Xenopus tropicalis: one gene and its partners. The protein of the gene in region 3 interacts with the protein of the main gene of each other region in a biochemical or structural test. Links are inferred from orthologs where the notes say so. Each region holds a gene or a part of one and is shown on either strand. Other genes may lie near its edges.

Region 1 (3,653 bases), about 16 Mb from region 3:
AGCCCTATTGGGTTTATTTCATGGTTAAATGATTCCCTTTTCTCTGTAATAATAAAACAGTACCTGTACTTGATCCCAACTAAGATATAATTAATCCTTATTGGAGGCAAAACAATCCTATTGGGTTAATTTAAGGTATGAAGATGCAAATTACTGGAAAACCCCTTATCTGGCAAACCCCAGGTCCCAAGCATTCTGGATAACAAGTCCTATACCTGTACAATATTCTTGATACTTGTAAGTGTATGTTTATTCCTATTTTAATATATACTGGATGTGTGCTATGGGAATGCCTGCCCTTTTCATTCCTCAAAATGCAAGGCCACAGTTTGCAGTGTTAGACGTTTAGTTCTCTATGCACATACTACATATATTAGAGACTACTAGTCTGTGCCGGCAAAGTCTGTTTCTCTGAAGTAAAACTCTCTGATCAGTCACAGCTTATAAGCCCTCGTGCCAACTGGCAGCCTAAGAAGAAGTATGTTCAGACTTATTTTAAGATGCAAGCAGATAGTTACCCTGCCCTGTATCTGTGCCGCAACTGCATCCTTATAAACAAAGTCATATGACTGTCCCTGTCTGTGTATGAGCCCCGTGTCTGGGTTTTACTCACCAGCTGATATATAAACAGGTTCCATGGCTGTTCCTGCCTGTGCGCCCTACGGCAGTGCTGTCCAACTGGCGGCCCGCGGGCCGCATGCAGCCCGCGACCCCCCTCTGTGTGGCCCCCCACCTGTCTGGCTGCTTTGATGGCTTACTCTTGTGTAAACTTTAAATGGTATCAGTACTGAGATTAACTGCCCCCCCCTGCATGGTTCTCACCTCAGATTCAGGCTGTAATCAGGCTGTATTGTTTAAATATGTAATTCCCTGTGTTTTTCACACCTTTTAATCTCTGCATTGTTCACCCCCTGCAGTGTTCACACCTCAGGCTCAGGCTGTAATCACCCCCATTGTTCCCCTGTTCACACCTCAGGAGCAGTAGAAACCCACAAATAATCCCTGCACACTACAAAAAGAACATATACTGAGGTGGTACTGCAATTAAAAAGTTTTTTAATATATAGTTATTGTGCAGACTGTAGGAGCAGTGCCAGCATTGTGTCACTGTAGGCTGCCTGTGTGTGAGCATAGGGCAAGCAGAGTATGGCTCACACAGGCAGGGTAGGGAAGGCAGAGTATGGCACACACAGGCAGAGTATGGCACACACAGGCCAAGTTTGGCACAAACCGGCCAAGAATGGCACACACAGTGAAAGTATGGCACACGCAGGCAGGGTAGGGAAGGCAGAGTATGGCACACACAGGCAGGGTAGGGAAAGCAGAGTATGGCACACACAGGCAGGGTAGGGCAGGCAGAGTATGGCACACACAGGCCAAGTATGGCACAAACCAGCCAAGAATGGCACACACAGTGAAAGTATGGCACGCAGGCAGGGTAGGGCAGGCAGAGTATGGCACACACAGGCAGGGTAGGGAAGGCAGAGTATGGCACACACAAAGGCAGGGTAGGGCAGGCAGAGTATGGCACACAGGCAGGGTAGGGCAGGCAGAGTATGGCAGGTTTTTGCTGTACTACAACCATTAATATGGGTATGGTCATGTGATAACATGGGTGTGGTTTCAAGTGGGTGCAGTTTCAAAAAGGGGAGTGGTCAAAACTGGCTTCCATTATCGGCCCTCCACCACGTAGGTCGGAAAAATTCCGGCCCTCGGTACAACAGAAGTTGGACAGCACTGCCCTACGGTATTGTGTGGGCCCAGACCTGATCCGACACACCTGCCGCCTCCTGTCATGGGGCCAGAGTGACAGCCAATAGCAGCTGTGTTGCACAAACGAACAACAGAATCTGGAGCTATGCTCCTTTACAGCACCCAATCAGTTTATAAGATTTAGGGACTACAAGCACAACCACTAACAGAACCCACTGCAAATAAATTATGATTGTACCCAAACACTGAGCTTACCTCCTTGCTCAAATCTGAACTTCCAGGCTGAGCAGTTGCCCCCAGTTCTTCTAGCCCCTGCCCGTCACGATTTGGTTCTGATCCAGAGCTGTTAAGATCCTGTGGGCTGTCCGAGGGACGGCTGGAACCAGTCTGTGCACTTGACACAGATCCCTCGGTTTCCCTGTGTACAAGCCAGGCATCTACTTCTGTGCTTGGCACGGTCAAGCGGTCAAGTGCTCTCACGCAGCCCAGCAGTCGCCTGGAAGTGAAGAACTGGTCCAGATCAACGCTCTTGGGATGTACCCCATAGCCGTCGGAAGTGCCTCTTAGGCTGTGGAACTGGGTCTGGGTGTAGGCCGAGGTAGGTCCTAGAATAATCTCATGCAAAGGGGGCAGATGAGAGGGCAGGTAGGAATCCAGGTCCAAACGTACACCCATCAGGCTCAGCAAAATGGTGAACTGTATCAGACCCTCAGTGAGATACTTCTTCAGAGACAGCATGTCTGGGAGCCCCGAAGAAGCAGGGACCCCCAAAACACACACAATCTTTACCTAGAACAAAATGAAGCAGAATAGAGACAGTTAGGTAACATATAGACCTCTCCCCACCCTCTGCCCTATCACATAACTGAACTCTCAGCACTCACAAATCACTTCCACGCTGGGTAAGTAAACAAGTCCATAGGATGCAATACCTTTCTCATATATCCCTCTTCTGCACTGCCCCCGCCACCTTTAAAGGGGGGTTTCACCTTTTAGCATGTTATACAATGGCCTATTATCAGCAAATTTTCAACTGGTCTTTATTTTTTTATATCATTTTTGAATTATTTGCCTTTCTCTTCTGACTCTTTCCAGCTTTTTTTTTTTTTTTATTACTTATCTTTCTATTTAGGCCCTCTCCTATTCATATACCAGTCTCTACAAGACCAAATAGCTGCTGAAATTCCTAACTGAAGAGCTGCAGAAAGAAAAGCTTAATAATTCAAAAACTGAAAATAAAAAATGAAAGTAAACTGCAAAAATTGCTCAAAATAGTACTCTCTACATCGTACTAAAAGTGAATTTAAAGGTAAACAACCCCTTAATATTAGTGGTCAAGGACACTGTATTTAGTTTATAAAAGCAACTAAAACCATGTGTATTTGTGTAACAAATTCTCTAGCTTATACCCATATGTAGTGCCAATGCCATTCATTCATTGCTCCCCTTAAGGGCCGCAACAAAAAAATGGGCAGTGAAAATATTAAACTGAAATGCCTGGCCTGTAATATAAAAAAAAAGTGCTGGGAGTAGTAGTTTAGCATTCTCTCGTTTCAAAGGGCTATTATATAGGAGAGAAAAAAATTGTTGGGAATTTCTCTATGGTTTAAAGCATTCCAGGATATAAATCGCCTTACGCACACATCTATCTAACTGACTGTCCTTGTACCTTATCTGACAAATAGATTAGTACCATCACACAGCCCCCCATACCCTTCCTTTGCATGCACGCGACTGGGCTGTGTCAGGGGTCTTAAACAACATTGTTAGTCTTTTTATGTGCTTTATAAATACACAGAGCAACAGCGAATATCCGGTACGTTCCATTTGGCCTGTGCCACTAAACGGCGCTCAGAGGGTAATCCTCTCATTGTCACAGAGCTGCCTCTTCTTTAAAAGCCCCCATCTAAGCCAAATGACATATAATACATGCACCTAGC
Region 2 (4,084 bases), on a different chromosome or scaffold from region 3:
CTACCAAAAAATCCTGAAGGAGAATGTCCGGCCATCTGTTCGTCAACTCAAGCTGAAGCGATCTTGGGTGCTGCAGCAGGACAATGACCCAAAACACACCAGCAAATCCACCTCTGAATGGCTGAAGAAAAACAAAATGAAGACTTTGGAGTGGCCTAGTCAAAGTCCTGACCTGAATCCTATTGAGATGTTGTGGCATGACCTTAAAAAGGCGGTTCATGCTAGAAAACCCTCAAATAAAGCTGAATTACAACAATTCTGCAAAGATGAGTGGGCCAAAATTCCTCCAGAGCGCTGGAAAAGACTCGTTGCAAGTTATTGCAAACGCTTGATTGCAGTTATTGCTGCTAAGGGTGGCCCAACCAGTTATTAGGTTCAGGGGGCAATTACTTTTTCACACAGGGCCATGTAGGTTTGGATTTTTTTTCTCCCTAAATAATAAAAACCCTCATTTAAAAACTGCATTTTGTGTTTACTTGTGTTATCTTTGACTAACAGTTAAATGTGTTTGATGATCAGAAACATTTTGTGTGACAAACATGCAAAAGAATAAGAAATCAGGAAGGGGGCAAATAGTTTTTCACACCACTGTATAACCTGTGCAAGGAAGTTGTATTTTATCAAATAAGAAATTGAAACAGAAGCACTATCCTACAGTTATTTCCCAAACATGCATAGTACAAATAAATACAACATTTGTTATCAGCATAGGAAATGATCTGATCAGTTCACTATAAACTGCAAACACTACATACTAATAAATAATCAGTTCATACAGGGCCTCCAAAAAAGTTGAGTTTTTTTTAATAATAATGAAGGTACTGTAGGTAAGCCAACCTACCTAGGGTAGATTCTATTATGAAAGACTGCATAGGTAAGGCATCACCTTTAATTTAGCATTTTTGCAATGCCTAGAGAAAAGATTATAATCATATGAAACCTGTTCATAGAAGAACAACTAAGAAAGGGGTGGCATATTAGCAGCATTCATATATATGTATCAATGCAATTAACAGACAGCAGGAAGAAAACTAAAATAGGTGGCTCTAATGCTATGATTCAGGAAAGGGATGGCAAAATTGTTACACCATTATTTCTGGAGTCCACTATGGCTTTTATTGTTCTGTCTAACCAAACCCCAACTCTTAGAAATGTGGAAGAATTCAAAACCTGCAAAAAGTGTTAGGATATTGACCAAGTTCAAAAGCAAATCTTACATGTGGTATATTCCTAGTGCAAAATGTGAAAATATATATATCATAATGTCCCTCTGTAAATTGTACCAGCCGGTGACAGACTTCTGAAATGGAAGGTAGAGTTGGTCCTGTGTCTGAAGGCAGTGCTGCTTGCACCTAGCACTAAGATATGTATAAAAGGGGTGGAAAATGGCCATCCCCTTATATTACTCTAATTTTACATTATTTATGGCAGTATGTATTTTATATATAGACATCTGAGTTTCCATGTCTAGGAAACCAGCTTTAGAGGGGCCATCCACAGTTTACTATGTAGATTCACCCCCCCCCCCTTTTTTGTCTTTCTTGCTTGATATCGACCAGGCAGGATCACTCAAGAGCTCCATATATGGGCCAATGAACAATTAAGTGTATTAATGATAACGTTATCTATTGTATTGAATGCCTGTGTGGCCTTCAGTAAATAGGGAAAAGGAATAGGTAGTTATTAGAATGAAAAAACTAACATACAGAAATATTAGTAAAGGTTTATAAACTAGAGTTTCCAAATCTCGAACTCAAATATCTAAATAGGGATTCAATATTGGAAAATGATTAATGTTAAAATAGGGGGCTGTGAGATATTATAAGAATAACCAGGGCTGCCATTGCTATGTGGGGAAAGTTACGCAAATTGCCTAACGTACATATAAAGTTATGGCAAAACTAAATCAATTTACGTAACTTAAACCTGCCTAGAAACTTGTGTAACTTGCATAAAAACTTGCGTACAAGCAAAAGACAATGCAGAGAAGGGAAAACTCCAGTAACCACCAATGAATGGTAAATTCTACCTCCCCCAATGAACTGACTTATTAGCACATTAATTATTCATTTTAACCATTTATATGAACTGCTTATTATAGAGTAATATCTCTGTTTTTATTTGGGATCTATTTACTGAATTCTATGAGTATTCTTTACATTAACTTTTCAGCAGTGGAATGACTGGTTATTGGGCCCCACAGCAACATCATTGGCCCCCTACGCTTATGCAAGTTACTTTGAGAAAACTTACATTTAAACTGCACTGACCCCTAATGAAAAGATTCACTTATTAGCACATTATTATTTTTACTGCTTTAAAAAAGTAAAGTAAGTAGTTTTCTCCAGAAAAGGTGGAAACCCTAACCCCTTTGCATCACCCACGTCCCCATACATATCTCTCCTTACATCCTAATTATGCTTATGTGTTTTCCTTTTTGTTTCCTCTTGTTGTTTGGGTACAAAATCCTGTATATAAGAACCAACATTGCTTCTTTGTAATCAGCTTTGGTGAAGGAACTCTTTGCTGAGATTATCATCTTAGGCAGCCAATACCCACAACACATCTACGCCACTTTTGTTATGCTTCATGTCAGAAGTTTCACACTACAACTTTTTCAACTGGCTAACATAGTGCAGAACACTGGATTGGAACCAAGAGCACTAAGCACAGTTTTTACGCAAAGTCAACCGACCTATCAATTCATTCCAATGTCCGAGCTGTAGCGTAACAGCAGGGTGGAGCTTTAAACTATTAGTGACACAGTAATTTACATCTATTTCCTCCGCCATGGTAACCATTTGCCCAATAAAAGCAGCTTCCGCTTCCAACGTAGACGCATTCGTGTTCCGCCTGTCAGTGACTGAAACCATCAACCAATTAAAAAGCTTTAGACGCTATTAGCCACACCCTTCTTCTTCCTGTTCCAATCAGACTGAGCGAGGAGGCGCGGCTAAAGTTTTGATTGGCAGATGAATTAGCCAACGCGCGCTTTGCTCCACGTCAGCAGGATAGAGAAAGATGGATGCTATACTGTTGGTGAGTGAGGCCGCGGAAATAGCTTTGATTTTAGTGTGAGGGGGCCGGTAAAACTTTATTTTTCTATGGTGGTTGCAATCGTTTGTTTAGCTGGCCAGGCTGCTGTGTAGGGACAGGGGACGAGTGGTTAGGGTCTGTCAGTGGCAGGCTTTGGGCTGTGACTCCCAGCATACGTTCAAACGCTAGGGTAGCTATTCATTTTGGGACCTGTAGGAGATATCGTGCAGCAAAGTAGTTACTTTTTGTCATTCAGGGATGTTGCACCTGAGCCTTACGCCATGGTGAGCCTGTGCCAGGGACCCCCTATTGAATGGCAGGACTGGGCAAGGGCTGCTGGCACAGAAATAATAAAAAATATCTGGTAGTGACATTTTCTGAATATAGTGTGCCAAACTCTATAGTGCTATACCCCTTCTGATATTCCTTGTGTGGGTGTGTGTTTCCTTCCTAATCTGCCTGATTTTTATGTAGAAATAGTAGTAGTAGTAATAGTAAATAGTAGTAGTAATAGTAGTAGTAGTAATAGTAGTAATAGTAAATAGTAGTAGTAGTAATAGTAGTAGTAGTAGATGATTGATTGGGCTTTTAAGGAAAAAGAAAGGTGTCTGGGCTATTCTGAAATCTCTTTGGGTTAGACTGGACAGGCCTGGCGCTTATGCATGTCAGATTGTTGCTATTAGTCTATTTGCAGTTTAACAACAGCAGTTGGGCTATGGCTGATGGTAGAAGAAATATAGAACAGTTTTAACACAATACAATATCTGTATCAGGCATTTAAACTCTTAACAATTTTTTTTTGCAGGATTTTGTTTCCCATGGGGTATTGCATATCCCAGATATAGTTTTATAGAATCTCTCTTTACAGGTTGTGATTAAAGGGTATTGTATTGGGTAAAAACAAGAAAGTTCTAGTGCATTATGCACCTCAAAATCTAGAATAAATGTGCTGAGAAGTTTTTGGCCGATTTATTGAAAATGTATCCAAAACCCTACTAGTCCTACCCATTTTTTCCACTTCCCACTGCCTTCTTTCCCAGACCTGATA
Region 3 (4,111 bases):
AGAAAGAGACTGGGCAAAAATGGCCTGCATGGCAGATTTCCAAGGCGCAAACCACTTTTAAGCAAAAAGAACATTAAGGCTCATCTCAATTTTGCTAAAAAACATCTCAATGATTGCCAAGACTTTTGGGAAAATACCTTGTGGACCGACGAGACAAAAGTTGAACTTTTTGGAAGGTGCGTGTCCCGTTACATCTGGCGTAAAAGTAACACAGCATTTCAGAAAAAGAACATCATACCAACAGTAAAATATGGTGGTGGTAGTGTGATGGTCTGGGGTTGTTTTGCTGCTTCAGGACCTGGAAGGCTTGCTGTGATAGATGGAACCATGAATTCTACTGTCTACCAAAAAATCATGAAGGAGAATGTCCGGCCATCTGTTCGTCAACTCAAGCTGAAGCGATCTTGGGTGCTGCAGCAGGACAATGACCCAAAACACACCAGCAAATCCACCTCTGAATGGCTGAAGAAAAACAAAATGAAGACTTTGGAGTGGCCTAGTCAAAGTCCTGACCTGAATCCTATTGAGATGTTGTGGCATGACCTTAAAAAGGCGGTTCATGCTAGAAAACCCTCAAATAAAGCTGAATTACAACAATTCTGCAAAGATGAGTGGGCCAAAATTCCTCCAGAGCGCTGTAAAAGACTTGTTGCAAGTTATCGCAAACGCTTGATTGCAGTTATTGCTGCTAAGGGTGGCCCAACCAGTTATTAGGTTCAGGGGGCAATTACTTTTTCACACAGGGCCATGTAGGTTTTCTCCCTAAATAATAAAAACCCTCATTTAAAAACTGCATTTTGTGTTTACTTGTGTTATCTTTGACTAATAGTTAAATGTGTTTGATGATCAGAAACATTTTGTGTGACAAACATGCAAAAGAATAAGAAATCAGGAAGGGGGCAAATAGTTTTTCACACCACTGTATATGCGCCAAATATAGTATTAAACTTAGTTTCACACCATGTTATCAGTACCTGCATAGCCAGTTAATCAAGAGAGGCCGAGAACTCCCAGTTGTACACATTAGAGATGGGAAGAATAAAAGAGGCACAGAAAACAGCTCTCCAGGCAGAATACATTCAATCCATTTATAAGGCAAAAGCCCAGAAGCCTGCATTTAATGAATACATTTATAAGGCAAGAGAATATAGTCTCTGCACCTGCTGAGAGTCTATGAATTTCTGTTAGCAACCCTTTTCCCCATACAGGGCGCACATTGCATATTTCCACTGTGACTGCAGAAGATGAAAAAGCATACCTTTTCTGCTATCCAACAGGGAGGGGGAAGGAGGGAGAAGGGGGAGCAAGTGGTTCCATTCAGCCGACAGAGAACCAGTGTGGGGCATGTCACTCACACAGTGCCTGGCAGCACATCCAATCACAAGCAGAGGGGGCGGGGCAGAAGATGGACTGCTAAGCAAGGAGGCAGGCTGCATGATCAGTAGCTGAATTGCCCAGGATGCCAGGATGAAAGGAAACACAACACAATGTGTGCCTTCCCATCTGTAAATAAGCCTTGCTTGTCTCCAGTGCCCCTGGACCCATACGCCTTGGAACAGGGCAAATGGGGCTTATGAATCAAACATGCAGTTCAGCCTGTAATTGTCATATAGATGAAAGAATACCATGCCCCACCCCCCTCCAAAAAAATTTGCATTCCCTTTTCCGCTCCAGGCGTTTCAATGAATATTCTCTCTTTTTTGTTCCTAAACTCAGAGCCCACACAACTGACAGCTGCTGTGCAAAAATAATTTTCCCTGTACAGAGCCCATGTCTCATATTTCTACTGTGACTGCAGAAAATGAAAAAAAAAAGCATACCTTTTCTGTTATCCAACAGGGAGGGGAAGGAGGGGGAGAAAACGTTTCCATTCAGCTAACGGAGAACCCAGTGTGCATCATGTCACTCACACAGGTTCTGGCAGCACATCCAATCAGAATTAGAGGAGGGCAGGGTGACAGATGGACAGCTAAGCAAGGAGGCAGGCTACAGGATTAGTAACTCCGTTGCCCAGGATGAAATAAAGAAGCGTTTGCAGGAATTTATGACCAGCAAACAATATTTATTCTAGGGATAGGATTGCCACTTAGCAACAGCTAATGGGTTTAGCAACTGCCTCCTGAAGATACACTGGGAAAATACATTTGTACCACTGGAACCACATTTCTGTGTTCCCCGGCAGAGGAGCTTGTGGCTTTAAAGAGGTGGGAGCCAGCACAGGTCTGATCTGTGCTTATTGGACAATGTGATATCACAGGAAGGGGAGTAGCTGAACGTGGAAGATTTTTTTTACCGGAAGTCTGTCGGATGACAATTCTAAAGATAAGGGAATGTTTTGAAAGAGCAGAAATTCAAATAAATATTATAAAACAAAGATGCAGTTCAGGTTGTAATTGTCATAAAGATGAAGAAAGGACAAAAGTTTTAGATAAGAAATAGATAAGTATAACATTTAACTACCTAAAAGAAGGTTTGGTTTTGTTGGTAAGCATTGTAACCCTATTACTATGGGAAGTATCCTGGGTTCTTTTGAAAACATCTATATTTATTAAAATGCTTCCTAACGTGAGGTTTAGCATTAATATCTTAGCCTTATATCCATCCTTAACTTCATGGATGAAATTTGGACCAAAGTGGAAGGAGGAAGCAACATTAGGGGAGATCTGAAGTCAGATGCTGCAGCTGAGCAAGACTTTCTTAGGCTGGTCACATGGTTTAAGGTTTGGCTAAAGGATACCATCAAATATTACATGTTACTGGAAATGAAATATTTCATAGTCTGCAGTGACTACTACTGTGTTTCATCCTAGTTACAGGATGTTTACAAACAAACTTTGAGGGTCTAGGCTCTAGGGCCTGCTTGTCATGGAAGGCAAATGGATAAAACTGAAATCCCTTACACTTAGGGGCCCATTCATTAAACCACAATTTTTATTTTTGAGAAAAAATTGTATTTTTTCTAATTTATTGAACTTTTCGTAATGTCCACGATAATTTCATTAAAATGTCACAACTTTTTCGTGGTTTTCGTTAACTTCCACAAGAAAGTCGTATTTTTCGTAAAGACTGCAATCATTTCGGAATTTATTCAAGCTTTGGTATCGTGACTATCTTTTGGCCAAGTTGGGAAGGCTTTCAAAATCATGCATTGAAGGTTTCAAAGCCAGAAAGGTTTTTGGGCCATTTCTGAACGTTCAGATCCGAAAATTTTGTGACTTTCAAAACGAACCATAATATTTTCGTACGACCGATAAAATAATTTTCGAACATCAGAAATTATCGTGGTTACTCTAAATTTTTGGCATATTGTGATTTTAACCACAAAAAAATTGTGTTAATCGGAAACGTAATACAGTTATAGGAGATATTTGAGCTGCCTGATAATATTTTAATGAACTGAGAAAATTTAAACCATCACTTTTCTTATGTTTACATAAAATGGCACCCAAAACACAAGGGTAGCCATGATTCCATATGAACCTGTTTAAAAGTTTTTGTGAAGTAATGAGCCCAGTCTTAGGTACTGGAATAAGTAGGGAGTGAAAAAAATATAGTTTTGGTAAAATAAACATCTTCGTCCTAACCAGGATATTTTGTATTTAGTCCATTGGGATAATAAGTTCTTACTTTTTTTCCCACATTGGAGGATAGTTCAATTTGTAAAGAGAGTATACCTGGAGCGTGAGGTTTATTCATATATTTTCAAATGGGTAGTTTTCCAGGAATCCAAATGGGTCTTTTTATTAACAGTGGAACCGTGAGATACTCCTAGTTTAACAACTCTAAGGGTGAAGACACATGGAGCTACTTAGTAGCAGCTACTTGTCACAGCTATTAATGTGCACTAAATAACATGGCTGCGTGCGCTAGGAGCTCTCTCCAGGTGCAGGTGGCTCACCTGCGATGAGGCTGTATTTAAAAAAAACAAAAAACACAGGATAGGATAAGAAAGAGTACATAAAAAAACTGTTGAAGGATAACTAGATGGAAAAGGAAGAACAAAACAAAAATTTTAAGCAACTGTATAACCATGGCAGCATAGCCAGGTACCCCATAGGCCAACTACTCTAAAGGAGATAAGGGGGGGGCTTACTGCACTGACAGTAAATCC

What was found.
Region 1: the proteins of mafg (region 3) and nfe2l1 form a complex in vitro, tested with the Homo sapiens proteins (2 studies listed by BioGRID and IntAct, with this or other methods). The link is inferred for Xenopus tropicalis from reciprocal best matches to the Homo sapiens genes MAFG and NFE2L1.
Region 2: the proteins of mafg (region 3) and nfe2 form a complex in vitro, tested with the Homo sapiens proteins (2 studies listed by BioGRID and IntAct, with this or other methods). The link is inferred for Xenopus tropicalis from reciprocal best matches to the Homo sapiens genes MAFG and NFE2.

The regions. Positions count from the first base shown.
Region 1 is NC_030686.2:11,705,100-11,708,752, reverse strand, and holds part of nfe2l1 (endoplasmic reticulum membrane sensor NFE2L1), read right to left. Parts: intron 2,503-3,653; 5' UTR 2,452-2,502; coding exon 1,969-2,451; intron 1-1,968.
Region 2 is NC_030678.2:145,585,734-145,589,817, reverse strand, and holds the start of nfe2 (transcription factor NF-E2 45 kDa subunit), read right to left. Parts: upstream 2,826-4,084; 5' UTR 2,696-2,825; intron 1-2,695. Other genes in the region: copz1 (coatomer subunit zeta-1), read left to right, coding at 3,022-3,039. UniProt on the Homo sapiens protein: Component of the NF-E2 complex essential for regulating erythroid and megakaryocytic maturation and differentiation. Binds to the hypersensitive site 2 (HS2) of the beta-globin control region (LCR).
Region 3 is NC_030686.2:27,981,925-27,986,035, forward strand, and holds the start of mafg (transcription factor MafG), read right to left. Parts: upstream 2,948-4,111; 5' UTR 1,872-2,947; coding exon 1,821-1,871; intron 1-1,820. UniProt on the Homo sapiens protein: Since they lack a putative transactivation domain, the small Mafs behave as transcriptional repressors when they dimerize among themselves.